Linked DNA regions of Schizosaccharomyces pombe. The gene in region 4 interacts genetically with the main gene of each other region. Each region holds a gene or a part of one and is shown on either strand. Other genes may lie near its edges.

Region 1 (6,962 bases), on a different chromosome or scaffold from region 4:
AGACTTTCCACGAAGAAGTTCTAAAGAATCGGGATTTTTTTTTTGAGGCATAATACTACTTCCAGTTGAATAAGCATCGGAAAGGGTAACGAAGTTGAACTCAGAAGTAGAATATATAATAAGATCCTCTGCCAAACGGGAAATATGGGTCATTACCATACTAGCCCAGAACATAAATTCAATAACATAATCGCGGTCAGCTACAGCATTCATTGAATTCATAATAACCCCTTCAAAACCAAGTTCCTTTTGTAAGAACTTACGATCTACGGCGAAAGGATTACCAGCAAGTGCACCAGCGCCTAAAGGGAGTCGGTTGACTCTAGAATAAATTTGTTTCAAGCGATCCAAGTCATTTAATATAGAAAAGGCATGAGACAATAAGAAATGGGACCAGCGAATAGGCTGGGCTCTTTGCAAATGAGTGTAACCGGGCATAATGATATCAAGGTCAGACTCTGCACGAGCAACAAAAACTTGGAGTAACCCAACTAAAGATTTTTGGATGATGTCCAACTCATCACGTAGCCAAAGGCGCATATCGGTCGTAACTTGATCGTTGCGACTTCTTCCTGTATGAAGCTTACCAGCAATGCCTGTACCAATTATTTCTCCCAATCTGCGCTCGTTAGCAGTATGGATATCTTCGTCAGAAGGTTGAAGAGTGAATTTATTTGTCTTCCATTCATCTCGGACAGCCTCTAAACCATCTAACATTTTATCCAATTCATCAGCACTAATGATTCCGCGTTGTTCTAATGCCTTAGCATAAGCTTTCGAGCCATCAATGTCGGCATTGAACATGCGCTTGTCATAATGAATAGACTCATTATAAGCTGTCATCAAGGGATCAGTGGCGCCAGTAAATCTACCGCCCCAAAGTTTTTGTGAAGAAGCCATTCAGAATTGTTAAAACAGAGTCAGTTTTTCAAGTTTTCAACCAACGCAAAAAGGAGGTAGTACTACTTAAAATTTAATTTATCTAATCTTTTGAGAGTATGGCTATATGACCGTGTAACCTCTTCCTTATCGCAACCTATTGTTATATCACATTAACGATACGGCGATAGATATGAAATTGATATTATAATCGCTATAATAAGATCTAACGTATTGGAACGTATAAACACTTAATAAATGTTTACATTCCGCTTCGTTATTTCTTTCCTTAAGTTTACAAAAGATATCATATATGGAAGCTTTGGTTGGAATCTTACTGTATAAATGTACTCAACCTGAATGATTTGTTTTGTCTTTCTGATTTATTAACTCAGAGCTACCAAAGAATTTCGCGAGCATTAGCTTAGATTTAAGAAAATTGACTGTTATAAAGATTGAGAATTCTTAAAAGATTTTCTTGTTAGTTGTGATTGTTTTTTCGATTTTTATTAGAACGATATTTATAGATGCCTGAAAACTCATTGGTAGATAAGTATTGTTTTCTCGTTTTTACTAGTGTCTGATCAGACTAAACTGGTTTAAACATTATGATGCATCTTCCGCCCAATTTCTTTTAAGATAGCTAACGAAAATCAATTAAAATAAACATGGACCAACCGAGTTTATGAATCCACCAAATATAGTGGGATTATAAAGAAGAAGAAAATCAACGAAGAATAAAGTGATAACAGTACATGATTTTCCTTTTCCCTCTTTACTTTCGTCTCTTACTGCCTTAAATTATACACTGCATTTCAAATTGTCAACTATATTATTGATTTCTTTTGGCATGAACACATATAGGGCGTATTACTTCGACAGTCTAACATTTACTTATACCAAGCTTCTCAAAATTCGTTTATAGTACTCGTCTTCGCCAACAAATAACTTAACAATTTACGTATGGATATGTTGTTAACAGAACGTCTGGACTCAAAACGGAATCCACAAAGTGTTATCTTCGAGAATACTCTAGAGCCAGTTTAGATCTTGCTAGTTATTTTTAAATAGAAGTTATTGAAGGTTGCCGAGCAATACAAGTGTGATATAGTAATGTTGAATCTGAACCATTTATTGTCCACTAGTAAATGTGCAAGAATTAATCCATTTATTGTTTCCATGTAAAACATAGAACAGATAGCGTAACAAACAACATCGTACTTTAGCATTTCACTTTGAAAAATTTTAGTCAGAGCTTCTTGTACATTGTTATCAAGGGTCGTAAATGAATTATGTTAGCTTTCTGGAGTGTCTGCTAGACTTAAACAATTGGATTTTAGAAAACTAAAGAGTGTAGCCCCTATTTAAATCTATTTAATTGTAATAGCTTGAATGCTACTCAAAGGCGTAAATCCTTTTTTAAGCGCTTATATTCCTGCTAAAAGAATTCTAGTCAAAACGTGTACTAGCGTATTTCACAGAAGTTCCATAGGTTTTCTTTTTCTGATGTAGGAAAATTTAGGATCTTCCATTGGTAAGCGTACATTGTACTCTATCACAACTATTACAACATACTTTTTGCTGGATATTAACTTAACAAAAGCCACATCTTTAAAACTTTGAAAATAACAACTTTGCTATAATGGAGCCAAAACAACGAGTTGTCAAGCCTTTAAAAGAAAGGGTTTTACCTGTTGTCAAGGTAAATATATCTATCATGTGTAAATCAGATAATAAATGTTGATTATAAGAAAAGTTTCTTATTTAGTTCCATAACGTAACTGTAATCTATTACTAAAACATAGACTAATTTGTCAGCATTATTTTATTTTGATTCAGTGTCATATTGTCTTCACTCTTTTAATACATTACTAACCGTTTATTATAGAACACCCAGTTTGTTTGGTTTTCGGGGCAAGTAATAGTGCTAATCTCTTCCGTCTTGTATGCTCTTCAAGCAATCCCTTTTCGTTCCGCTCCTCCATTTTTGTTTAAAAGCGCTGCCTTTGGTGCCATCGTTGCATATGCAATTGTCCTTTACAAAACTTATAGTCCAAACTTGACTTCCCGTGCTTCTTGGAATAAGCATTTCTTTGCCCGTCTTATGCTCGATGACAATGTTCAGTATTTTATTTTAGCTCTTTCAATGTTGATTGATCGTCCCATCCTATTTTCTCTCGCTCCATATGCCATTTACGCCACTTTCCACATCTCCACTTACTTGCGTAGTGTGCTTTTGCCTGCCATTTACCCTAATATTTCTGACGCGAAAACTGCGTCTTATGCTTCTCGTGTTTCTAATTTGCTAAATCAGTACACTCGAAGCCAATTTCAACCTGCTATGCAACTTGTTGCTTCTCTCGAAACATTTTTATTGTTCCGTTTGTTCTTTGGGGTTTTCTTACGTAAAAACTCAATTTCCAGGTTGGTGGGCTATATTTTCTTTCTTCGCATGAGATACACTAATAGTCACTTTACTCGTGCATCCATTAAAGCCGTTAGCCTTCGAATGGATCGTTTGGTTGCAGATAACAGAGTTCCTCCTGTTATCAAAAATGCTTGGCATACATTCAAAACTTATGTGTCCAAGTTCGGTGCTTCACCTGTAGGTACTGCTCAAAGCCGTCCCACTGCATCAAGCTCTACCACTGCTCCCTCATCTACTTAAAGTGATGCCTTATTCCTTTTGATTGCTAGAGATTTATATAAATTTCACCAATCAGTGTGATTTTAATATGTCTAAGTGCTCCTGGTTTTTGAGTTCTTTACTATTAACGAGTAGTTTCTATTTCACCCAAGTAAATTTTGAATGTTCATACCGTTTACCTCTTTCTCTAAAAACTTGTTTGAGATAATTCCGTTTATTTATTTTTGCTCACTACTCCTCTATTTCAGTTATCTTTGTTTGGGGGGTCTCCTCAGACTTTAGTTTAGCTTTTTTCAAGGAAATTGAAATATGGATATATGTTGTTTATCCAAAAACTCTTTGAGTATTAAAAGATTAAGAGGTAAAAATAATACGTTTTATTGAATTTTGTAGCACAATAAACACATGTATAGCAGCGCACTCTTGAAATCTAGCAAGTTATTAGTTTACATTGGATAAAATACCAGTTTCAATTGAATTTATGTGATGTTAATGCGTTTTGTTTCTTAGCATCTGCGCAAAGTAACGTAGCGCTGTGTTATGGTTCACTGGGAAACACCAACAAAGTGCTCGATGTTTTTCTGATTATCGTAATTATTTTGAACGATGTTTGATCAGTTGGAGTTTTATCCTGCTGTCAACTATGAGGATAATGAAACTCAAAATGATATAAAAGTAAGCTTAGATAAATGTTTTTACAAGGGCTTACCCAATTAGCTACCCGAAGTCGCCAAACTTGAAAATATCGAAACAGTGCATTCCATTTCTAAGGAAAGACGCGACTCTTTAACGGAAATTTTAAATGATTCTTCAAGCTTACCGGCACGTCCGTTTTCTCTGCCTAATCCCAATAATTCAACCGTAGAAAAGCAGTCGTTATTTCCATTTGAAGAAAAGATGAACCCCATATGGATAATTTCTAGACCTACTTTCTCTATTGAGCAAGACGCGGAAAAAAAAATTAATGAACTTCAAACGTTTACAAACATTATTGATCAGATATTGGGTCAGACTAATAACATTGAGTCAACATTGTTATCAATGAAAGAAAAGTTTGAAAGTTCTGAAAAAAAGCTGAGTGAATTCTCTGAAATGTGTGAGAACCTTAGTACAGATGAGGTATTAGGAGCGTGCTGCATACCACTTATCATTACTAACACCTTGAACAGATGCGGTTTTCCGAAATAGCCGATGGCATAAGAAAAGGATTAACAATTTTTGCTCCTTTGAAAGAGCTTACTCGAGTTTTTCGGCATCCACCTCCTGACTTTGCTGGCAAAGTTTCCTTTAAAGAGCACATTACTCAATTAAATACTTGCATCATGTTCCTTGAAGAAAATGTACGAAATTCCATGTTTTTTATTTTAGCTGACTTTTTAGTTGGATTTTCAAGAAAGTCCGCATTACCTTGGTCAATACAAGAAACTGCTATCTCAAGCGATGGATATATTTAAACCGTATTTTATACGGATAATTAAACAAACTACTGATCAAGTGCTAAAGGATTCCAAAAAAATGGTAGGCATATACTTTTGGGCGTTTTTGTTTTCCCCAATCATTAACAACTATTTAGGATGTTCACAAACAGCTTCATAGTTCACTCTTCTACGCCCGATTTAGTGCTGTAGGTCATAACCTTTGCCCCACTATCACTGAATTATGTAAATTATGCTCTAAAGAAAGTTTAGATGCTTTTCTTCCTGCTTTTTATGATGTCTATTTTCAATGCCGCACGCGGCTTCTGAAACCTGTACTGGATTATCATTTGAAAAGTTTTTTTATGGAGAAATCCATTTCAAGCTATGTATGTTTAACGAAACATATATAATTAACTAATGATACCGTAGATCCAAAAATCACTTGCTCTTTTACAACTTACTTTTTTTGATGAAAATAAGTTATTCCGTGAAATTCTTATCATGGATGATTTTCGATTTATGCATTATTGGAATAATCTTTGTCAAAGCTTTTTTGAAAATAGTCGTTCATTAATTTTGCATGAAAAAAACCTTACCGAACTTTGCGAGGTGTGTTCTTATATCCAATCATTTCAAAACGCCATTTTAGAAGGGGAAAGGGAGGACGTTGATAAAAAGGTCGTTGAATTTCTTAATCCTCTTGTACTTGAGTTGCAAGAGCGTCTTTTATTTGTGGTACAAACTGCCATTGAAACCGATATTCAACGATATTCCCCTACGGAAGAAGATTTAAATCCTATTGCAGATGACAAAAGTTTGCTCTTCGACTTAGAAAAGTTACGCTTGAATAATGATGAAGAAAAGCTAGACCCCGATGTTCCACAAAAACTTGCTATGGCTCAAGGCTGGTATCCGGTAGTACAAAAATCTTTAATTATTTTGTCGAAAATCTATCGATTGGTGAATGTACGTGTTTCATTTAGACTTTATCCATTAACAGTTTTTAGTCTCAAGTATTTGACGAGATAGCCCTTGAACTCGTGCACTCCTGCATTCGTTCCTTGGTAGATGCGTACCGCTATTTTAGCCGGAACAATGATAAGCAGTTAGCAAGGCTTTTTCTAATCAAAAATTTTTTGGTTTTAAAAGACCAGTTGAACTCATTCGATATACATTATGCTTGTATTGAAGCTGGCGTTGATCTGCGAAAAGTATGGGATAGTGTTCGTGAATGGCGTTCTAACTTGAGAGGCGTCTTACAACTTGTTTACGAAACGTTTCCTAAATTTATTACAAATGCCGTAGATACCAGGCAGGAACTTAACCAGCAGTTACGTGTAGCAGTAAATGGGTATATCGAAACTGCAGTTATACATTACACGGAATGCTTAAGTATCGGAAACCTCGAAAGCATAACCGAGTTTCAAAATCGAATTCAAAAGTTTCCTGAGTTGAGACAGCAAATCTCACTCTACCTTTCAGAAACGTGGATCATCGAACTGTTTTTGCAGGCTATTCGAGAAGAAGTTGTCAGTAAATTTCAAAATTTTTACGAATCAATAGTTGCAAATGAAGATATTACAGGAAGTGACCACAATAAGAGTGGAACAACTTCGTTAAAGCATTTAAATGAATACGTTGAAGATATTTACTCCGTTATGAGTTGAATATTTAATACGTTGATGACCCGACTAGATTTTGAAAACATATTTCATACTTATTTTTTGCATAGTTTAATCAAGTTGAAGAAATTTACCGTTTTAAAAATCGTTTCAAAATTATAAATGTATTTCTATTTGACATTTTGTATGCTGTGCATTTAATTTTTTTTTTTATTTATAAACCACTGGTAAGTATCGGTATATAAAAACAATTTCTTTTCTTCTTCGTAAATATAGTGAAAATTCAATTGGGGATTATATAGTATTGTCGATATTAGACCGAGCAACTTCTTGTCATATTTAACAAATGTAAATATATTATATTATGATATGCAAAACCTGAGTATTGCAAAGTCT
Region 2 (7,444 bases), on a different chromosome or scaffold from region 4:
TTTAGAGCTTGAGGAATAGTTATTAGGATTTTTAAATTTTCAACGGATTTTTTCCCGGTGTTTCGAATACGTACTTCGAACCTTCCATCCAACTTATTTTTTGCTTCAACAACAACAGGCAAAGATTTCTGGGTAGCAAAGTCTGTTTGAAAAGAAGCTAATGTAAATTTTCCGTCCGGTGGAATGAATTCAATCTGATCCGGATGTTGTTTCCATCTTTTTAAATTGACTGACTGGTGGAACCGAACATTCCCTAGTTTTGTGCCGGGTCTCAAACTCAGCAAAAGTAAAGGCATACCAGATATTTGACATTTGCATTCCATATCACTTTTAACTGTGCCAAAAGCAAGTTTTCCGTTAGGCTGGTAAACGGCTGATACGCGTTCAAGTACATGAATAAAAAATTCATTGGTTGCATATTTTGCTTTAGCTGTTCTCCAAGGAACGGTATCTCTTGCAAGAGTCGGTGTATTTCTAAATCATGCGGTTAGCACTGCAAAAACAGAAAACTAAATAACATACGTTTGTAGACCAGTAACTGCCATAAACTTATTCATAAAGCTAGGGAGTGGTACAATGTCCTGCAATGCATTTGGTTCCATACAAGTTGCATATCCATAATCAATCATTTCAGCTAATAGCTGGACAATAACGCAAACATTTTTCTCGACCTTTGAAGCATTAAACCCACCAAAAAATGTTTTAACTACATCCACAATGCGTCTCATAATATCATGAATGTAGAGAGGCTCAGTGTCGCAAGTTGTAGGAATACACAAACGCACATCTTCCTCTAACTCTTGAAATATCAAAAAATTTTTGTTATGTAATATAAATGGAGGCTCCTCATTTCGAAGTTTGTAGCGAAAAAGTTCGTTTTTTATATGTTCTAACGTTATGGGAGATGTCCTTCCTCGAGACTCCAACTGGAGTAGTAACGCCCTAGTCAACTTGATTAATAAAGTAAATAAACAGCTAACGCATACCCATTAGTGTCTACAAGATATATTGCTTCTATTGTGCTCATTCAAAAGTTTTATGAAAGGAGCGGTTGGTTGGTGATGAATACGTATGAAGGTAAATGGATTAAGAAGGTCTTCTAGTGTACAGGAAAGGGTAACCATAGATGTCCTTTCTCAATCTTTTTAAAGCCTAATTTATAAACAATTTAAGTAATTAATAGTAATTAAGCCATGCTACTGTTGACATGCTAAACCGTTTAAATGGGTTGCTAAAAGGTACGCAGGAACCTCAGGTTGAAAAATTAATTAGATTAAACAGAAAACCACCTTTCATAAATGTCGTAGATTAAGATACTTGTAAAAAATATATATATATGACAAATAAATATATCACAATGAACTTTACGCTTTGTGTAAATATAGCAAAAAGCATTATATATGAATCAGCAAGGATGTATGTGTACTTGATGCCCATTTTTGGTAAATTTACACAAAGGTAAAGTAAGAGATAGAGAGCTACTATTGTCTACATCAGTATTAGAACGTTTTAGAAGTAAAACTGTGCATTTTTCCTCATTTTTTTCAGCTTCAACTAGATATATGTCAGAGAGAAATCGATCGAGAACTTTAATGGAAGAAAGTTGCACAAGCTCAGTTTCAGATGAACGATGAACACGATTGATATATCTCTTCTCGAGATCTTTTGTGCACTGGAAAAGTGATTTTTGTTTACTAGATGCAGGGGAAGACACGCTAGAACTCAAGAATGACGGTTTAGATGGTGGAGTACCCATGTGATGAATAGAATATTTAGCCAGATGTGTTGAAATAGGCGACTTCATCTTGGCGTTTTTTATTCTCTGAGATTCTGGAGACAGGTAGCGCAATGCTCTAGGGCTTGACTGACCGATATTGGTAATTTTAGTCGGAGATGTTGGAAGCTCTACGTTGTATGTAGAGCTAGCAAATGGTTTTTGAGAGGAGCTTTGAGGATGTCGAGCAGGCTTTCTTTCATCCTCTGATGAAGAAGAAAATTCATCAATGTCTTCATCCAAACCCCGACGCTTTCTGACTAGATTGGAAGACTTGCCATTGAACGATTGATCCTCAACATCTTCAATTGCTTCCATAGACAGCGCCATTCTATGAAGTTTCTCCTTTTTCGCGGAATTAAATCCAAAAGCTTTGCTACCTGCTGAAGCTGAGGTAGCTTCATTTTGAGATGCGCTTTTTCGAGGATTGTATTTGACTTTCTTGGAACTCATGTATAATAGCGTTGCGGCATGATAAATTGACAATAAATTGAATTTCAATAATCCTAATATATGGATACAAAGGAAATTTTGAGCTTAAACGTAAAAAGCTGGCACAACATTGATATAAGTGAATGACTTGTGGTGAGAGCAGACAACGATCATGCGAGTGTAATCAGCACTTTACTGTATGATCGGCTGTATTAAATACGAAGTAGTGGAAAAAAAATAATAATTTTTGGTTAACAAATACTTTAGTCATTTGGTTAAACAAAATAGATTTTTTCGTCCACAGACCCATTTTAGTTATGGAAAATATATATATATATTTTTTTTTTCGAAAAGAGCAGCAATAAGGAATACGAGGAGGACCTACAAAACAACACGGAGTAATTACGAGATTAAATTACGAATAATAAGTACGTTGGGTATTAAACGAAGCAGAGAAAATATAATAAAATAGCATCATATTGAGCAAAGCAACAAGAACTTCAACCACACTGCAATAGTTTGCAACTCAGAAGAGAAATGAGAGATTGAGCCGAACCTGTTACATTTACAATATATCGAGATGAGAAAGACGTATTTATGAAAATAAACACTCATAGTCATAAGCAAAATAATTGAGAAAACGCATTCAATCTCCTAATTCAAGTCATAATACAACACTTTTGAAACGCAACACAACACAGCAACACATTTTCAAAGTTGAAAACAAAACCATGGTTATTACCCTTGCATTTTTTTGCAAAAGATACTATTGAAACCTTAAAATAAACGAGGAAGCGAACCAAATAAAAATCAAGCGCAACCTGACAGAAACAATCAAACAAATTATCCCGCAGAGGTTTACTTGTTAACAGTGGTGTTTATAGTCTCAGTAGCTTGCTTTTTAAGTTTATCACCAGATCTCTCAAGGGAAGCAACCAAATGCTTGATAGAGCGCTCATTGCATACATACAATCTGGGAAGGATGAAGGCAAACAAAACATTCCAAACAAAGAGAGACTTGTAGGAAAGGAAGCCACTAAGGAAAAACTCAATAAAAGCAGCAACAGAGGCAGTAAAGGTCAAAATAGGGCTCTCAGCAAACAAGATACGTTGGAATTGAATCAACATAACGTTGAAAATGTCGACAATTGAGTTGACAATCCTATCAAGAGCCTTGGAGTCGCAGGTGATGTAGGAGGAACGGAAGTGAGACAAGACACCACGCTTACCGTTGGAAGCGAAAAGACCACCGAATTCAATGATGGAGGTAATCAAAAAGACATAACGGAAAGTTCTGAAAAAGAGGCGAGGAAGATTGATCCAAGAAGGGACATAAACGAGAGCAAGAATACTCATCAAGGTAGAGAAACTGCAAGAGGTGTTCTTCCAAGTCAACACAGACCACAAAGCATTAGAGATCTCAGGATCGACGTTTTGCTTAGTAGTGTTGGTAAAAGGGCAACCGGCCTCCAAAGCAGGGCATTTTTTGTCGGCACCTCCGTGAGCGCCGGAAACTGGGCAGACGGGACTGCTTGTCTCGCCAGGTGTGGATTGAGAGGTGTGGTGGGGCTCGGAAGAGGAAGAAGAGATGTTTTGAATAACGGGATTCTCAGAGTTGGGGAGAGCAGAGGGAAATGAAGTGGCAGAGGGCAATTCGGTGGAAGGGTGAACGGTGTGAGCAGTCAAAGTATTTACAAGGTCCTCAGCACCGGATTTAGCAGCGGCGACATCGGAAGCAGTGACGGAACCGGATTCAAAGGGGTTTAATGAATGTTGTTCAGACATGATTTGCGTGTTATATTCAATTTTAAAATAACAACTTAAGGTAAAACAGTTACTAAGAATCAAAAGAAGCCTTAAAAAAAAAGAGAAACCTTTTAAACTAAAAAAGGGTGCAAGTGTTTTTTTTTTAAGATATAGTAAAAAATAGAGAAAATTTAAAGAAAACTAATTCTGAAAAGTGCCGACTAAAGAAAATAGCTAGTAAAGGACGACTTTTCGGAAGAGCGAAATACTTTGTAACAAAGACTTAAAAAAGTGAATAAAAGATTTTTGGATTTTGCTGTAGGATAAATAAAATGTATATGTATTAAATCCAAAGCCAAGTTCCAAAAGGGTTAACTTTTAAGGGAGATATTGATCGAAAGAAAAAATAAAAGTAGAATGGGTAAATACAAAAAGAGACCTTCACGAGTTGTTGAGAGGAAAGTCAATATGTTTCACTTACGAAACTGTTAGAAAGTTGTTAGTTGGAAAGCTTTGCTTTTATATGGTAAAAGTCAAGTCGGTGGTTGGTGGTTAGATAGCAGTCATAGCGTTGATCATGGAATGACGTTGTTCTTGGCTCAATAAGTCTGTGTCAGCGGCGACTATAGCGATCATGCTTATAATCGGTTTACAGCAGGCTAATGAAAGAGAATTTTGGATGGTAAAAGAAAAACGAAGAATAGGAAGAAGATGGGCGGGAAAAGATGGGTTAAATGGTATGAAAAGATGGGTGAAATGGTATGAAAAAGAAGGAAATGAATAGAGAAACAATGAAAATGGATGAAAAACGAAAGAACGAGCGAAAACGGATGACTTTTGCAAAAGCTAGAGATATTGAAAAAAGAGTAAATAAAGGGAAAACAATGATTAAGTGCAGGAAAGGCTACAAGAGGCGAAAAAAAAGTGAGAAATAGATAAATAAATTCGTGTAGGATAGTTTGTTGAAAGGAGAGCGAAGTATGGAGTTTGATTGTAAAATGTAAAGGAGAAAGGGATAAGAGTGATGAAAAGGAAAAGGATACAACTGAATAAAGAAAGGATTAAAGATTGAAAAAGGAAAGGAATAGTAACGGTGAGAAATGATGAATCATCCACAAGTGAGTAAAACACGAAGAAATTTGTTGTTTAAAAAATTATTTAATATTTGAGGAATTGAAATCAATTAAAACTTTGAAGAAACAAAATTCATTCAAACTTCTGAAGCCTTTTTTTTTTTTTTTTTTTTTTTTGGAAATTTTTTTGACAAAAAATTTATTTCTTAAGAATCAAAGCAAATGTATTTCAAAAAAAAATATATATATATATATGATGAAATAAATAAGACCATACCTTTTCTACATTTAGTAATTGATTTATTTCAGTTTACGTTAATTAATTTAATGTAATTTTATTTCGAATTTTTTATTTTTTTTATTTTTTCACGAATTGAATTGAATTGAATAGATTTTCTTTTTATAATTTAATTTTTTTTGTACAAATCAGTTTGTATTGAAATTCTTCATCATCTCATTATGCGTTGTGTGTCTGTTTATTTACACCCACTTAAAAATTGCAAGCATACCGTATGATGAACAAGAAGGCTTTTCTTGCCTTTTCGTGAAAAGGGAGGGAGAAAGAGAAAACGTATTTAATAAATTGGACATCTCATCGTATGCTAGTATATGAAATTATGAATTGAAATGAAATGTATGGAATTGCATTGCGCTGGACTGAATTGCATAGAAGTGGACTGCATTGCATAGAAGTGAATTACATTGTACTGAAAGAATTGTGTTGTATCGTATTCAAAGTAATGATGTATCATCCTTTCCTCTTTCCTCTCTACTCTACTCTACTGAAACGGTCGGGTTCTTCTCTCCTTTAGCAAATCCTTTACTGCACTCTGCTGTACGGTCTTGTTCCACAGTATGATGTTTAATGAATTGTTGGACAAATCTCGTTACCATCACCAGCATGAGCTGGTCGCGACTGCCGCTTATCGGATGGGATGAGATGGGAGTATGGCATCGGTACATGTATAAGGCAAGGGAGTGCAGTACGAAAAAGAAGGATTACGAAGGAGGAAAAAGGGGAAACGAAAAGAGCAAAAAGTAAAATTAGACACAGCAAGAATGCTTAGCTAGTCAAATGGGTCAAATATGGAAAGAGATGGAAATTTTCTGAATAACGAGGAAAGGGGTGAAAGAATTTGTTTCGGTATGTGATATAGAGAGAAGGAGAGAAGTGCAAGGAAAGCCAAAGAAATGCAAGGAAAGTCAAGGAGAGTAAAACAAGGTGAAAGAAGAGAAAAAGAGTACTATGGATCAGTGAGAGTGAAAGAGGTTTATTGAAAGGGAGCAAAGTGCGGTATATGGTGGAAGAAGGTAGAACGAGAGAGACAGATGGGCAGAGTGGGAGCAGTAAAAGCTTTAAGGTTATTTAGGGATTGTTGTAGCGGGACAAGAGAGAAAGCAAAGGAGGAAATGAAAAGCAACAGATAATAGGAATAAAAAGGATGAATAGGAATGAAAAATAAAATAAAATTAAAGTAAATAAAAAGTGAAGTAAAACAAAATAAAATGGTTAATGAAATCTATTTGTAATCAATTCTCGTTCAACCATTTTTTCTGAATTCATTCATTTTTTGTTTTATTTGTGTACTATCGTGTGGAAGTATAGAAAAAAAAGTAGGAAATGGTTTTATTGATGATAGAAAAAAATATTAAAAAAAAAAAAAAAGAATTAAATAGTATTAATTTATGCATCATATACAAAATGAGTCTGATAAATTTGTTTACAGTGAATTTTCATTTCAAATTTTTTATTTATTTATTTATTTATTTTTTTTATTATATTCAAGAATATATTTCATTTAGAATTTTTATTGTTTTTACATATTTACTACTGAAGTTTCATTTCTTTCTTAGTTGGTTTCTTTTTCATTTCTTTCTAATTTTTACTTTATTTATTTACTTTATATTTTCTATTTATTTATTTTTTATTTTTTATTTTTATTTTCATTTATTTTTTACTTTTTCCTCCTCTTTCCATTCCTCTCCTTCTTCTTCTCTCTCTTCTCTTCTCTCTCTCCCTTCCTGCCTCTCGCTGCTCTCCTATCACTCTTTTCTGCCGGTCTCGTCTCGATACTCGTTACCCGAAAAAACTCGGCTGGTATGTTACTTGCAAACTGCCGTCTACCAATCAGCATCGTCGCTTCTTTATGGGTCACAAAGGTGTGCTGGCATACTGGATGCATACAAAACGTTATCCAACACTCTTAAAGTTGTGCAATGCGCCATGCAATATTCGCTTACCGAACATACGCTGGACTACCATACATAATGGATGGAAACTTGCTTTAAGGTATGTGCATGGCGAGACGAGAGGTGGGAGAGAGAGAGAGAGAGAGAGAGTAATGATAGAGAAAGACAAAGAGAGAGAAATAGATAGAGTGGTAGAATTAACACAAAGAGGAATGACACACACACACAC
Region 3 (7,367 bases), on a different chromosome or scaffold from region 4:
ACTTGCTATTTTTACAATGCTTAATCTACCAAAAAAAGTTTGTATGAATTGCGTATCGAATTTTTACTATAACCTGTCATACAAAAATCTTGAACACATAACTTAGATTATTATGCTTCTTTAGCAATACTATAATTCTCAGTCAAAGTTGTTTACAGAATAGAGTAAACGTCTTAAATATTTACAAATTCAAGGCGTTGTAAAGTATAAACATTGAACAGATGTTCACTTACAACAGTAAGAAACCCATTTTAAAAATACTACGTTGAAAAATTGATGATGAGATCGAACAATAAAGATCATTTACAAAGACGATACAGTATGCATTTTAAATAATAAATAATTAATTATTTTCATATATAGTTTTTAAAGTCATTAGATTAAGAACTTTCATTTGAGCTCTTCTCATCGATAAGCGATTTTAAATCGCCAAGACATTACCAAATAATTACAATAGCATGCAACTCAACGGCAATTTCGTTGCAAATGCATCAACTGCATTATCTTTGTTAACGTAAAGAAAAAGGTTAGGAATGGATTAGAAGGAACCTCAAAGACTTAAAAAAAGAGGAATGAAATCTTGGCTCTGTGTCCCCAAGATCCTTTTCCAAATTCCGGCATATCTAAACAATGTCAGGAATCATAAAACCCAAAATATATGTTGTCATCCTAACAAGTCAACTATAAAAGAATTGAAAGAAGGTCATAAATGCAATGAGGGCATAGATAGGAAAAGATTACTCAATTTAAAAGGCTTCTGCAGCAGTCTTTTGAGCAGGCGTAAGTTCGGTAGGAAATTTAACCTTGCACTCAATGATCATATTACCACGTTGAGAAGGATTCTTTGGCAAGGGCATACCGAATCCAGGATACGTAATTTCATAACCAGGTTGAGTTGGTAAAGACGAAGATACTTTAAGCTTCTTTCCATCAATAGTTGAAATTTGCTTTGAAAAGCCCAGAAGTGCTTCCTTCAAGGATAGCTCTACTTGCATACGGAGATCATCACCAGAGCGTGTGAAAACAGGATGAGGTTTTTCAGCTAGCACGAACTGAATGTCTTGAACAGTTCCGTCCGGTTTCTCATCACCCTCACCAGCAAACTTGATTTTAGTGCCAGCTTTCCATCCAGGCTTTACTTTGATCTCCAAAATTCGGTCCGCTTTCACCGATTGACCAGAAGCATCAATTATGTGTCTAGATATTTTCATCTTCTTGGTACATCCGGTAAATAGATCCTCCAGGCTCACGTTAAGGGGTCGAGTGATAACCTCGTTTTGAGCGGGGGGTTGACTAGGACGGGATCCACCAAAAGATGGATGGCTACGTCTGGCGTGAGGACCTGCTCCACCACCGCCAAACATATTAGCGAATCCGCCAGGCATACCACCTCCACGAGTCCGCGTACCAAAACCTCCATCCATGTCCATATCATCGTCCATACCACCCATTCCACCCATTCCTCCGCCCATGCCTCCACCGCCAGCAAAGGCATGACCAAATACTCTTTCAAAAATGTCGTTCGGATCACTGGCACTGAAAAATTGAGCTCCACCTGGGCCACCCATATTAAAGTGGAATGTTCGAGCTCCACCAGGTCCGGCGCCTGGGAAGCCGCCAAAGCCTGCACCAGGGCCACCTTCAGCACCCGGTGGTGGTGGAGCAGCATTCCCTTCTGTGATACCGTATTGGTCATAAAGCTTACGGCGCTGGGGATCGCTCAATACTTCGTAAGCAAGAGAAATTTCTTTAAATTTCTTCTCACCATTAGGATTTTTGTCTGGATGGTATTTAAGTGCAAGTTTTCGATATGCCTTCTTTAACTCTGCCTCAGAGGCCTCGGGGCGGACCTCCAAACAATCGTATAATTTGGTATCTGCTACCATGATGTTTTGTAGTAATTGTTGTTTTTTCTATCTGTGTGAAATATGAAAAAGGAAAGTGCGAGTGTAGATGCTTTATCAAACACAAACACAATATAAATCGTTATGGTGGAATCAAAAAAACGAGAAAAATGAAGAGAAATAAATAGAAACGAAAAATCAAACAAAAGCGAAGCTTTTTCGGTTTATTTGTTCTCGAATAAACGAAATGAAAGTTTTATTTTTCCACTTTTCTTGTGTTATAACTCCTTTATATATATTTCGTAAGAAAACCTTACAATTCAAATTGTACAATGTTCCTGAATTTTCAAGAAAAATAGTACCAAAGTAGTGTATGTAAAGTCAATAAGAAATACTATTCTTTCGACCAAATATTAATGGAATGTAAACGTTGCAATACACTCTAAATATCGTTTGGAAACGAAACAAAATGTGTGAAGACAGTAGATGTTTTTGTACCCGCTGGGACGGACCATATACCATGGCATGATGTAATGCTAGAAACTTCGAGTATAAGCGAGAAACTGATGTGGTTTAACGAAGTTTCTTAAATGCACAATGTAAAGTGGTAGAGTTCATTATTGTGTTTAACGACGCTATAATGGGTTAACTGTTTATTGAAAGACGTATTGTATGTATTTGTACAAAATATAAATTGATTGCGATATTTTTATATTACAATTCTACAAAGCGGCAGTTACTTTGAGATAGTACTTTGTTATTAATCTTCAGAATTTTTTTCAGCAATTTCGAATATGGGTATATCATTGTAAGTATACTGTAGTCTGGTTATTGCTTTTGGGATGTGTGTGTAAGTTACTATAGTTGCCATAAAATAAATGTCTATTGCAATTTCGGTACTGTGGTAAAGCATGCAGCCTTATAATTTTGTACTGCTCAAAAAGACTACGCGATATACATATAGTATAAACCCTTCAACATTGCCGAGGTCCATGCCGAAAGCGGCATATAAAAGGCCAAATTTTTTTAAATTTTTGACAGTCAATAAAAATAATCAGAACTAGAGGAAAGAGATTCAGAAAGGCAAAGCTTCTGAAACACTGAATTATTTGCAATTGTCCAAAATATAGTCAATTGTGATGGGAAAAAACAAGAAAACAACGTTACCGTTGTATGATTTTCAATCATTCATCGAGTAGTATAGCATAACTATTCTATGGAATACAAGTCCATTCCAAACATTTTGTTCAGAAATCTCTAGATAGAGGGTGGAATGTCAGTAGCGGTAGTATGTGCAAAAGAAGAGGCTGTGGGCGCAGGAGCGGCATTTTGACGAGAAACGCTTTTGCAAATACGGATCACATGAGGAGTGATATAGGGACGGATCAAGTGTCTGTAGATAATGGTAGCACCGTTGAATTTAGGCAAAGCAAGCCAAATCAAGAAAATAGCCTTGAGTAACCAATACACAGCTAAAAAGGAAAATCCCCAGTTAGTAAATAAAAAAAATAAATTTAAAAGCAGAGAGCAAAATTTATTAGATCCTTAATGATCTTATAATCACGCCTCTAAATACAAAAAATTTAAACACTTACGGACATAGTAAAGGATTAGCTGAGACCAGTACTCAATAACGTTGAGGAATGAAGTTACCAAATAATAGGTCAACCATTGAGTGTCATCGGCCTTGTTAGTAGTTTCAATAGCATTGATACTAAAGAAGGCAGGCATCGCGAATGCCAGAAGGTTGGTCAGTAAAAATCCACCCCAGTTCAAGAAAAGGAACAAGGCATATATACCAGCTGCAGTAAGAAAAACATAAAGCTTGCTAACACCAAAATTTTTTTCCAAACTGTTGAGTTGAGGAAAGGCTGCCAACTGGAAAAAAAAGTTAGTAAACAAATTTGAATAGAAAGAATAATTTCTAAAATCACAAGATACTAATAATAGCCTATATTGCCGAGTGCGTAAAGCGGCTTCCATCGGATATCCTGCCTTATTGCTAACATACCCTGTTATCCAAATCTTGCATATTCTGCTTAACACGAACTTGAAAAGACATTTTGGTACTGCTTAATTAAATTATCTGAGTGTTCAATAATTTTTCTTTTGAACGAACTATTTGTCTTAGAATATGGGAGTTGTTTGCTAAAGATAAGTTTGCATTTATTCTATCGGTGGTAGTGAACAACGTCACGATTACAGGCATTCGCTTCGTACCGTCAGTGTGGTATATTAATTAGTGCATAGGAAAGTCGCAGTAAATACGATACTGTATAGTACAAATACAATCCGATTTTCAAAAGAATTGCCGTATGTATTTTCAGCCGATCAAACAGTCATCTTGTGTTTCTGTCTAAGTTTATTTACTTCATTACCAAAGCATTTAACAGTAAAAAAACCATAGCAAAAATGAGCGATTTACTTCCACAGTATGCTACGTTGTATTGTTTTAACCAAACCATGAACAACTGGACTATGCAGTTCGCTAAAGTCAAGCCCTGCAAAATATGTACGGTTGCATTATCTAAAGTTAAGGAGGACAACCGAACTTTACGGTTCTCTGATTTAAAGAATGTCTACATTACATACAAGTCTGCATAGATATATATCACTACCAACATTACTCTTTCAATTGTAATTAAATTACTACTAAATGTAAACAAGTTTTGACTTAATAAAGTAAATTTTTAATTTCTTATTAAATTTATAGTATCGGTAATTATCAAAAACTCGTGGATCGAATAAAAAAACCATCTCAAGAATAGGATGGTGTCTAACTGTTAAAAACGGCTTCTTTTATCTATTTCAAAATTAGTAAAGAATTTTCAAACTTAAGACCAAAAAGTTTTAAGCAAATGAAGAATTTCATCAGTGTAACTATGACAAAATGCTTTATCACTGCAAGAAGGCAACCAAAACGATTACCCCGTTATCCTTGCTATACAATTTGGGTATATATTTCGCATCCTCTGAAATCTCCATTTGTGAAATGATGAAACTTACCTATTTACTATTTAGATGAGCACACTCCAGGTGAAAGAACTATGCAAAAGCAGAAAGCACAGTGCCCTTTATATTCTTCTTAATGTGACTGTTTTTTTGGGGTTTTCAAGAGAAGATATCATAAAATAGCATACATAGCTGTTAATCAAGGATAAGAAGAAGTAATGTTCATCGAAAATAATTGATAGATTAGTTTATTGATATTGTTAATCATTTGAGTAATTTCTGATGTTTTCGTTATAAGGATATGGTTGCTTCTTTGACTCAGTAGGATTGTTATCTGGTTTTTAAAATCGTTACTTGAGAAAATCCCCTAATTTAAGGAATTTTTATATGTTTGTTGGGATTATAGCTGTCTTTGGCTACTGTTAACTGTTGTAATGACAATAGTTTTGGTTTATCTTTCTTACTTTAGACCTTGTAGAAGCACCGGTAAATGTCAAGCAAACTTTTCAAACTGTAAAGTGTATACAGTCTTTAACGACATAGAATTATAGCATCCGTCAACAGCTAAATAAATTATTCGTTTGTCTGTAAAAAATAAAATTGATAACGATTGCTGGAAATTTAGAATCATTGGGATATATTAAGGATGTACCTTCCCACGAAGAAAACACATTCATGAGATGTTTACTGAGACCTGCAATGATTTTTTTCATTCCAATACGTAAATGTTTATTTTTTTATGGGCAAAAGTATGCATTCGTAGATACAACTCTTTTTGGCCGTTGTCAAGCTTAACAGATGATACAATGAAAATAGTAAACAAGGTATTCCCAAAACAGACGATATCTCATTTTCCAAGAGAAAAGTATTAACTTAATAGCTCCAAGTTCATCAAATTTTTTTTTGGCGATTGAATAGTTGTATAGTTTAAAGAGTTTACTCATACTTGGCAATGGAAATGCAGCATACTTGTTATTTAGATCTTCCCAGATCCTCAATTTCAAAATCTAAACAGCTATGGGTAAACATATGCCTCCTCTCTGGATTAATGAATTAAAGTTTTATATGAATATACCCATGAGAAATAAGGTGGATACAGCAGCAACTTTCTGCACACACTGCATCAATTGGGTTTTGGAACGAAACCAAGGAATCAATATATAAGTTTGAAGCACATGAAGGCATAAAAAAAATTTCGTCTTGAGTTCGATCTTTAGAGGTGAAGTCAAAGTAAAAACTTGCGAACCCAGCAAATGCCAAAGATGGAGGGTTTAAACTTCAATAGGTTCATCCATCAGAGAGATGTTATGAATTTCTGATTTATTTCGTTCAATGGCAGCTAATTCTGCCTTTTTTATTGTACCAGATACACGAACCACGCGAATTATTACAGGCTTGCCATATAATTCCCTTATTAAAACTAATGCGGCCCATGCCAAACGAAAATGCTGTCTTGAGACCCGCAGAATGCCAGTAGATGTATTAGGTGAAAAATATTTTACAGTTAGACTAGATGCAACCTTTCCAATACCAACATCACCGAAATTTTCTGCAACCATGGTTCTAATTATTTTAGAAAGACTAGACGTAGTTATAGAACTATCAGAAGGGATAGTAGGATAGTCAAAAAACTCTTTTGCTTCAGGATATAATACTTCAAAAAGTAAATATCGGGATTTGAAGCGAACCATAGTTTTACGATATATATATTTTTTGTAGTTTAATCAGCGATTTTGATTGAAATATGACCTTTGAGACAAATAATAATAATAAATTATCGTTATGCTATAACAAGAATAAATAATGCTGGAAATGGAATTGCCCAAAAATGGATCGTAGTGGGTATGAACGTTGCTACTTATTGCACACCGGTTAGAGAAATGTAACTTGCTCAACGAATAAATTTCTCAGAAAACAGTTTATAGAGACGTCTGTGTTATAATTTATTGCTTTTAAGATTTAATGGAATAGAAATTTAAAGAAAAAATCATATTATCTAACAGGTGTTTACAATGAACGATTAGAATTAGTCGTAAATTTCAATATGTTTAATTGCTTTTGCTACATTGCCATAGCGGTAGATAATTTGTTTAAGATTAAGTAAATGGTATTTGGTTATAATTAGACTAGAAGACATGCAAATTCTAAATGCACGATAATCATGCTTACGACACAGTAAACATTCATTTTTTAACTTTAAATCCCTTTGGAACAAACAGTTATAGAGGTCTATCAGAAACAATTTCAACATCCTCAGAAAATGAATAAATTTTAAATAAAATGATTATTTTTTTATTAATCGTTTGGTTCCTTGCATGTATCTATCCCTGAACAGTCAGAATATACAAATCAATGAAATCATTCGTACATTCAGTGGAATCATGAACTAAGTCAGAGCATTAACACCTCGATTATTCAGTAGAAAACGTTACCCTGTATCTACTTGATATTGCTTTATATATGACCATGAATATTAGCTTCAATTGATATATGAATTTGTCATGGGAAGAAGTTGTAAAGCATTCCTCCCATTCTACTGATTAATATACAATGGGATAATTATCGTAGTTA
Region 4 (8,309 bases):
TGTTTTCTACTTGGTATAAAAAAAAAAGATTTAATAAAATATTTCTAAACTAATGGATAGATATACTATTCGGGTCCTTTTGGTGAGTTTAGAAATAAAAGTTTTTTCAGCGTTTTTTTATTATTATTATTTTTAATATTTTAATATACGAAATGAATCGTTCATGACTTTTCATTACCCTTGTTTAGAAAAAAAAATAAAAATCCCAATTTGTAAGAAATTTTTATAGAGTTTTATAGTCTCGAAATTAAATCATGGAATTAGCACATCTTTTACTGCAAATAATCTGAGAATCAAACAAGTCACGTAAACATTTCAATGTTTAATACTGCTAGCGATATTATGGTGTATTAAATTTTATAACAAAAACGAGTTAGCTTGACATTGATAAAATTAATGCGACTGTTATTTACATTGAGAATTATATTGTTAAGTGAAATAGGATTATTCGAAGGAAAATCTATTTCGCTTACTATTCCTTTATATTTCTTTAGAATGATACCTTTGGATTGACTATCAATTGTATCTGTAAATCCACGGACACTTTCTTAATTCTGCGAAACTGCATGGGCGGCAAATTTTTCTTATCTTGAAATCTCTATATAGCCTTGCCCGAGGTAAATAAATAACAGGACGGCTGGGAGGTTGATCTTATCCAGAGCCAAACTCACCACCAAATCTCTTCTGTTTCTTTACAGTGGGAGAAATATTGTTTACCATTGTTATTATTATTATTATAGATATTCCTTTTAGTGTTTATTTTTTAAAACAAAAAAAAATACTTGTAACGAATTTTCATTAAGTATCATCTCTTGGATCGCTAAAATAAATCAGCGAATATTATAGTGCTGAAGCATTACACGTTCGAGGAAGTTGACAAATTTTAATAATTGCTTATCATTCCTATTAAATTAATAGTTTGATTTCCCTTTCAGGTTGCTTCGCTTTTGTAGCCCTTTGTTTCCCGTTCTTTTTATTTATTGTCCTCCACACTCATATAAAAAACTTTGACCATAAAAAGCTTAGACAAGCTCTTCTCAAATTCATTTTAAAATTATCTGTTCGCAAGCATTTTTGTCCCATGTCTGTGATAGCTCCTTCTTTTGATATGGCTAACATACTCACGGAGTTGTCTTCATTTTTAGGAGCATTATCCCTGGGATGTTGGGTCGTTTTACTGATCCCTCAATTACTTGAAAATTATAAAAACCAGTCTGGTGAAAGTATCTCTGATTTATTTTTAATCATCTGGCTTATTGGCGATTTCTTCAATGTACTTGGTTCCATTTACGGAAATGTCTCTTCTACTGTATTGGTTCTCTCATTTTATTACATTGTCTCTGACAGTACCCTACTTATGCAAATTTACTACTATCGTTGGAAAGCTGCCCGTCGTATTGCCAGTCGTGAACACGAACCCTTACTCCAAAGTCGTTCATTAGAAGAAGGTCTTCATGCACCCATTGGTAAACAACAAATTTGGTGGGATCGCCTTTCTACCCGTCAACAATTTGGTGTAATGGGATGTGTGGTTATTGTCTCGACAATCGTTGGAAACTTAATTATTTCTAGTGCCTCTTCTGACAAGAGTGATGATGACTTGAATGCATGGCCGTTTACTGCCGGTTGTATCAGTTCTGTGTTATACTTCTGTGCTCGTATTCCTCAAATCATCAAGAATCACAAAGCAAAGTCTACCGAAGGATTATCCATTATCTTTTTTGTGTTGGCCTCTGTAGGAAACACTTCATACGCTTTCAGCATTCTCGTATTTCCCGCCTCCGATTACTTAAACTACACATATGCTAACCTGCCTTGGATACTTGGCGCGTTCAGCACCATCTTCCTTGATATATATATCTTCTACCAGTTTATCAAGTATCGTAATCATTATTAACACAGCATAATTATCAAAAGGTCATAACTTTACCATTGCGGAATAAGAACGGCTGAGGGAAACAAATCTATGCAAGCGTTAATAATATATTCCATGTCTATAGTTCAAAGTTTTCAGAGGAAACAAAGATATGTCGTTTAGATGCTAGTAGCAACACAATATTCTTTCAAAAACATGTATTCTAATGTCACACATGATGACAGTAAACACTAGTTTGATACTTACCAAGTTGGTTAACCGGTTTATCAAATACATCAGTGCCGTATGAGGCACGGGGAAAGGTAGTGGTAAACTTAGTTGGCGGTGACACGTTCATTTTCTCAGCGACCTGTTGTGCCAATTGGCGTAGCGTCTCCTCAGCTGCAATAGTTATATTACAAACTTGACCATCGTGTCGGATAGAAAATCTGCCTGATGTAGGAGGGGTGCGAGTACAAGTAGAAGACGAATTGGCATTTTTAGGCTGCTTGATGGGAGCAGCCGTTTCTTTTACAGAAGAATTCTTATTTTCCCGTTCTGCAGCTCGTCGTTTTTTATCGCGTTCAATTTCTGCGAGGATTTTCTTACGCTGCTCAGCATCTTCAGCCTTTTGTTGACGGATCTTTTGCAAGTCACGTAAGCGGGCTTGATCCTGCATCTTTCTCATAGCCTGTGCAGTTTCATCATTGGATTTTTGAAGGATTTTATAATTTGTCTTCTTCTCTTCCAGAGCCAAAATCCTTTCTTTTTCCTTTTTCTCCTTTGCTTTCTCTCTTAAAGCTTCAATAGCTTGTTTTAACTCTTCGGGAGAACGCTTCTTAATCTATGTTTTATAATCGTTGTTAATAAAAAGAAAGGATCGAGTGAAACAAATTATTGTTTTCGTGAATTATAATAATAAGGATGGTTAACAATTCGAACGCTTCAACCATTCAGCAAAAAGTAAAAGGAGTAAAATCTATACATACCTCTTCTTCAGTTTCCTCAAATTGATCATGACTGGTTTTGGTACTATGAAATTCAGCCATTTCGATGGAGGAAAGCAATTTATCGCATTCCAAACATTTCAAAACCATTTTTGTGTAGAGTTTGTAGTTGCAAAAGGCAAATTACAATGACGCTCAAAAATAGCCCTACGTTCCATCGACTCAACATCTAACGTGCTAATATCTACAATATCGTATTACCAAACATCGCAGTTGAGAGCATTATAAATTTGTTGGTCATTGAAATAGAAATGACAGGTCAAATGAAACAAAATAATTGTAGTTACCACCGATTACGCTATGAATTAGAAGAATAAATGATTGTATATATTGCACGACATCCGCAGACCGATGATTGAAAATGATTACTGACTTTCGTGATCCTGTAGTTGGCATCCACTCGAGTAATTCGTTTCCTTTATACATGGTATGCTTTCTAAAGCATCGCTGATATTCCTTGAAATAAAAATGTTGATTTTTCCCTAGCATAATGACCATTAACGAAAGTATACAATATCTATTTAATGATTGTCTAAACCAAAAAACGTATTTCCTTTGAATAGAAAGTGTAAACGAATGCGCAATTTTTTTTTGAAATCATAATGTTTACTTCATCCTTGCATTCTTAAGTTGTAATTAAGACAATTCAAACGCATTAACATGACATTTAGAAATTAAAAAGGATAACTTGAATCATCCTTTTTGGGTATTTATATCATTTATTAATTTCACAAACAATAAATCCATATACTTATTGGGATTTTATAACCATACTGCATTCGTACATTATTCACCTACTGCAAAATATTTTTTAGCATATATTACTTTTTACTTTCAAAATATCACATTTATTTTAATAATATCGTTATAAGGCTTTGTATAATATCGATGAAAACAGTTACTTGAATAATTATCTCCTTTTATTTCAGTATCCATATATTACCATAATCTTTGCTCAGCCTCGGAAAATCACACACAAGTATGTGTGACGTAAAGCCACGATTTTTGGCTACACTGCGAAATGGTACTTCGCAGAGTAAAGTAGTACCACCTCTCGCAACAAACTCGCCTTTCCCGTAAATCATGGCTCTTGAATGTGATAGTACAATTGTGTTTCCTCGACCACTTACACGACTAGTAAAATGTGATTTAGAACTTCGCAATACTGCACCTTATCCGATCGGATTCAAAGTGAAAACTACTGCTCCTAAACAGTACTGTGTGAGACCCAACGGTGGTCGAATTGAAGCCAATTCGGCTGTAAGTGTTGAAGGTAAGATAATTTATATTTAATTTTGAACCTCATTTGCATTTTTTGATTTTATTCGTTTAAGCGGTTCCCATCATTGATGTTGTCGGGTGGAACAAAAACGTTGTCATCAACGTGATTTTCTTTTGCAAACTAACAGTTTTTATTGTTTTTGTGCGTGCACTGGAAGATAATTTGTGCTCATTAGTTATTGCTGTAAATTTTCATTTACTAACTTCTTTTTTTTTAATAGTTATCCTACAGCCTCTAGATCACGAACCGGCTCCTGGCACAAAATGCCGCGATAAATTTTTGGTCCAGAGCACTGAATTGAAGCCAGAATTACAGGGAATGGATATAGCAGATATTGTATGTGATAAAAGATATACTTACATTTACTTTTTTAATACATGCCATACATAATTGATGTTCTAACCAATACTTTAATAGTGGACTCAAGTCAGCAAGGCTAATATATCGGAACGAAAAATTCGATGTGTTTATAGTGAAGGCCCCAGTACTGCAAATGCTCATGCTAATGCTCACCATCAACCAGCTCAAACAACGACTACATCTATTCCTACTTCTGCCACTGACAATTATACCACAGTAAATGGTAATGTTAATCAATCTTACTCTAAAGGAATAGACGGAACGGCACTTCCTTCGACCCATGCAAATCCCGTAGCTGCTCCATCTACAGCTACTACACAGCATACCCAGCTTCCTAAAACATCTGCAGTTTCTCACCAGAAGCCCCATGAAGCCCCATCTACTGCCGTAAAAGCTCCTACTGCAACAGTCGCTGAAAATGAACCTTACCCAAAGCCTCAGTCAGTGCCTACTACCACTTCTCCTAACAATGAAAATAATGCATTAAGATCTACCGCTAATGTAATTAATAACACAAGACAATCAACAGCTACGAGTCCATCTATGTTCGCTGGAAACAGTGGAAATCAAATAGGACTTGCACGCGTTTCATCGTCTTTTGGGCGTCCGACTAGTGGTGCCAAGGTTGTTCCTCAAATTCATAACACAGTTACTGTGCAAACCGCTTTCCTATTAGCCATTATATGTTTCCTTATAGGCCTTCTGTTCTAGTTTTTAAATATATTGATGCATACTGTGCCAACCCATTCCATTGTCATTCCCAATGTTCATACTATTAGTATGACGATGAAAATTGTTTTGTGGATTTGTTTGTTGAAAAGTATGACTTCTTTCATGTACAAGTGGCTCATTTTTTTGTAATTGCTTAAGGTAATTTAATGCCTCTTCCATTCTGTTTTGTGATGTTTTATTGTGCTCTTCCAACTCTTCCAAAGGTAGTAAAGGGACTACAGGCCGATCCTCAAGTTGTCTTAAAACAACAAGCCACGCGCCCGTTAATTCATAGTACGCTTGACTTTTATAAACATTATGGTTGGGATTATGGAATTCTGGCAGTTCGTGGACAACGTTTGTAGCGGCATCAAGAAAAGTAATATTTTTCTCAAAACAAGTAGAGTATGGAGGTAAATAACAAGGAACCATATCATTAAGCGCATGTAAGACAGCCATGTACTTTTCACGAATTCTATTAAATGCGTAATCACCCCTCTTGTCACCACCATAGGGAAATGAGTCATTCAAGTTAATTAAAAGTTTACGCAACGTTTCAACACAAGTATCCATGGACGGCGCCGGTAATATGCCCCGTATATCACGTGCGAGATCAGGATGCTTTTCTACACATTGTAATAAAATTGTAAAAAGCTGTTGTTTGTCTGAATATTGTAGCAGTCTCGACAATGGCAGTTGCTCACCCACAGGTAGTTGACGAGCACGCTTAGAAATGTCTTCGTCAAAATCAGCTTTGCGTTTCTTAATCTGAGAATAAGATAAGGTCTCCATGAATTAAGGAAATGAACAGTAACAACAAATAAAGATACCAACTTCAAACGTGAAATCGTCTGATTAATTATAACAAAGAAAATGAAAATTACAAAGAAATGGATATTCCAAAAGAAAGAGGAAAAAATTTCAAAAGTAGTAACAATAAAACAAAGATAGAGGATACTTTGTTAATGAGCTTCCTTTTTTAAAAGCCGGAAGGATGGCTATTGCTCAGTGTATCGACTTATGAAAGCTAGCAATTTAATTTTTTTCTCAGCCCAAATGAAATAAAACCGTCGATTATAATTTCTATATTACAAGAAGCTCTATTGCCCGCAATACCAGCTCAATTAGAACCTCGATTTCTTAAAAAAGATAATGGAAAATGGTAAGAACAATTTAGTGGCTCAAGAGTTTTCTTCTCATGAGACGTTACCAAACTATTACTTAATTCCTTAATTTGTTTACTGAAAAAATTACATTTTATTTAATATAATGTCACCGCAGCTGAGTGTCAAGCCTACAATAATATGTTAACGCAGTACAGAAAATCGTTAAGTTGGAAGAGCAAAATAATAATTTTTTTCGAAGTAATTGTGCGTATGGATCAATGTTATAGTCAATAACTATTTAACTAATTGTTGTTGGTAAACAGTAGTCAATTCTAACTTATTGGTGATGCTAAAAATGAAAACAAAGCTTCATTTCAACTGATCATAGGCAAGTAATAAAAGCAGGGGGTAGACTTTACGTTCTTGTGTCGACGATTTTATGATCGTTAATTTCGTACTCGATTCATACCAGATACACAAACAATGAATAATTAAAACGATTCATACATCCAGTAAATAAAAAAAATTCCATTAAATTTGTTGTTTGAAGATTTAAAATTGCGTCAAATTTGAAACCAAATAACGCATCTTAATGCACTTGAACGTTTTCACGCTGATATACTTTGATAAACAACGATCACTACGGTTTTACCTACATGAAAAATAATAGAGAAGCACTTTATTATTTTTTTTTGGCAGTTCCAAATTTTCATTTTTTTTGAACTTACTACTTTTTTATTTATTTTGTGAATTACATGATAATTGAACTTGCAAGAGGCTTTTGAAAAACGACAAACGTATGCTGACATCTGATATATAAACGGAATGTCAAATCCAACTATTGAGGGAGACGAAAACCGTAAAGAAAATACAAAAAGCAACACAAAGCCGAATTTTGACGACCTTGATGATTTGGATGGTATGGAACATCGGTAATGTCCTGACTACGATTTGTGTATTACGATATTTCGTTCAAGTGAATTTTGCATTGCATAAATATAAAAAATAATGAGAGGGTAGAAAGGACTTTACATTAAAAGGAAACAACTAACAAAACAAAGATATCCTAGATGATTTAGATGTACCCAGTGCATTTAAGAACGAAGAGAAGAAAAACATAGATGAGCATAAACAAACCGGTAATACATCAAAAGAGAATGAGAGGATAAAGAATGACGATAATTTGAATTCACTTATTCAAGAAATGATGAGCAAATTTGAAGACTTAGGGGGACCGTCTGGCTTGGATGGGAGTCAACTTTCGTCTAGCTTTCAGAATGATCAGTTACTCAATGTTATATTAGAGGATCAGTTTGCAACGGAAAAAGATTCGGATAATGGAGCCGTTAACTATGGTGCTTTAGAGGCTGCCTTAAACTCCCTAATGTCACAAGTTACCAGTAAAGAGATTTTGTATGAACCCCTTAAAGATCTTGAAGCAAACTATCCTAAGTTTTTAAAGAATGCGAAGGAGACAGAGAAGCAAGGTTTTGAAGAACAGTACCAGAAAATTCAGAAATGTATTCAAATTTTTGAGAGTCCCGAATATGATGCTCGTAAAGATGCAGATATCATTTCGAAACTGGTAGAAGAAATACAGGAAAAGCCGCTTCCAGCTCCATTGATTGATAATTCTATGGAAACTGCAGGATGTCCAACCCAGTAAGTGGCTTGACTAAAGGATATGTATCATCGCTGTTATATTATTGAACTTAGGGTTTTGGATTATATATAATTGATTCTTTGTAAAAATTTCCTTATTTTCATTTTCAATTTAGTAACCCACGAACTTAGGTAATTAATTCTTTTGATTGTAACTGCTAAAATATGTTAAGTTGGTTTATATAAAGTTGTTTAGAAGTTTTTAGCTGACATTAGGTCAAGGCGAACCAACGCAAGGCTTTGACAGCAGCAGCAAACGAATAAAATCATAGTGTTATGTTTTCCTTTTTCAGAAATCGTTACAATTGATCAACTTCTTCTTCCAG

Evidence for each region.
Region 1: of scs22 (region 4) and tts1, changing one suppresses a phenotype caused by changing the other (phenotypic suppression), as found in Schizosaccharomyces pombe (one study listed by BioGRID).
Region 2: of scs22 (region 4) and rtn1, changing one suppresses a phenotype caused by changing the other (phenotypic suppression), as found in Schizosaccharomyces pombe (one study listed by BioGRID).
Region 3: of scs22 (region 4) and yop1, changing one suppresses a phenotype caused by changing the other (phenotypic suppression), as found in Schizosaccharomyces pombe (one study listed by BioGRID).

Annotation. Positions count from the first base shown.
Region 1 is NC_003423.3:4,365,868-4,372,829, forward strand, and holds tts1 (tetra-spanning protein 1), read left to right. Parts: upstream 1-2,474; 5' UTR 2,475-2,521; coding exon 2,522-2,581; intron 2,582-2,680; exon of another isoform or gene 2,681-2,767; coding exon 2,768-3,547; 3' UTR 3,548-3,949; downstream 3,950-6,962. Other genes in the region: arg41 (argininosuccinate lyase), read right to left, coding at 1-900; COG complex subunit Cog3, read left to right, coding at 4,133-4,201, 4,244-4,645, 4,696-4,866, 4,907-5,044, 5,100-5,330, 5,374-5,910, 5,952-6,611. UniProt on the Schizosaccharomyces pombe protein: Required for the correct positioning of the cellular division plane by delimiting the actomyosin ring assembly at the cell equator.
Region 2 is NC_003423.3:1,259,614-1,267,057, forward strand, and holds rtn1 (reticulon Rtn1), read right to left. Parts: upstream 3,992-7,444; coding exon 3,065-3,991; 3' UTR 2,685-3,064; downstream 1-2,684. Other genes in the region: AP-3 adaptor complex subunit Apm3, read right to left, coding at 1-474, 523-942, 987-1,027; protein dbl7, read right to left, coding at 1,406-2,227. UniProt on the Schizosaccharomyces pombe protein: Required for the correct positioning of the cellular division plane by delimiting the actomyosin ring assembly at the cell equator. Overexpression causes cell lysis.
Region 3 is NC_003421.2:2,193,207-2,200,573, forward strand, and holds yop1 (ER membrane protein DP1/Yop1), read right to left. Parts: upstream 3,995-7,367; 5' UTR 3,907-3,994; coding exon 3,856-3,906; intron 3,723-3,855; coding exon 3,440-3,722; intron 3,317-3,439; coding exon 3,102-3,316; 3' UTR 2,587-3,101; downstream 1-2,586. Other genes in the region: DNAJ domain-containing protein Psi1, read right to left, coding at 747-1,886; Rnase P/MRP subunit Pop5, read right to left, coding at 6,068-6,487. UniProt on the Schizosaccharomyces pombe protein: Required to generate and maintain the structure of the tubular endoplasmic reticulum network and the vacuole. Induces high curvature in membranes and causes membrane tubule formation. Involved in membrane/vesicle trafficking.
Region 4 is NC_003424.3:4,475,548-4,483,856, reverse strand, and holds scs22 (VAMP/synaptobrevin-associated protein family protein), read left to right. Parts: upstream 1-3,905; 5' UTR 3,906-3,945; coding exon 3,946-4,135; exon of another isoform or gene 4,136-4,307; intron 4,308-4,364; coding exon 4,365-4,480; intron 4,481-4,561; coding exon 4,562-5,215; 3' UTR 5,216-5,218; downstream 5,219-8,309. Other genes in the region: G-protein-coupled receptor Stm1, read left to right, coding at 1,082-1,897; SPOM_SPAC17C9.11C (zf-C2H2 type zinc finger protein/UBA domain protein), read right to left, coding at 1,927-1,964, 2,123-2,699, 2,845-2,952; nuclear proteasome tethering factor Cut8, read right to left, coding at 5,219-6,007; protein Pex19, read left to right, coding at 7,147-7,240, 7,383-7,987; protein dhm2, read right to left, coding at 8,283-8,309. UniProt on the Schizosaccharomyces pombe protein: Vesicle-associated membrane protein-associated protein (VAP) implicated in maintaining the cortical endoplasmic reticulum (ER)-plasma membrane (PM) attachment.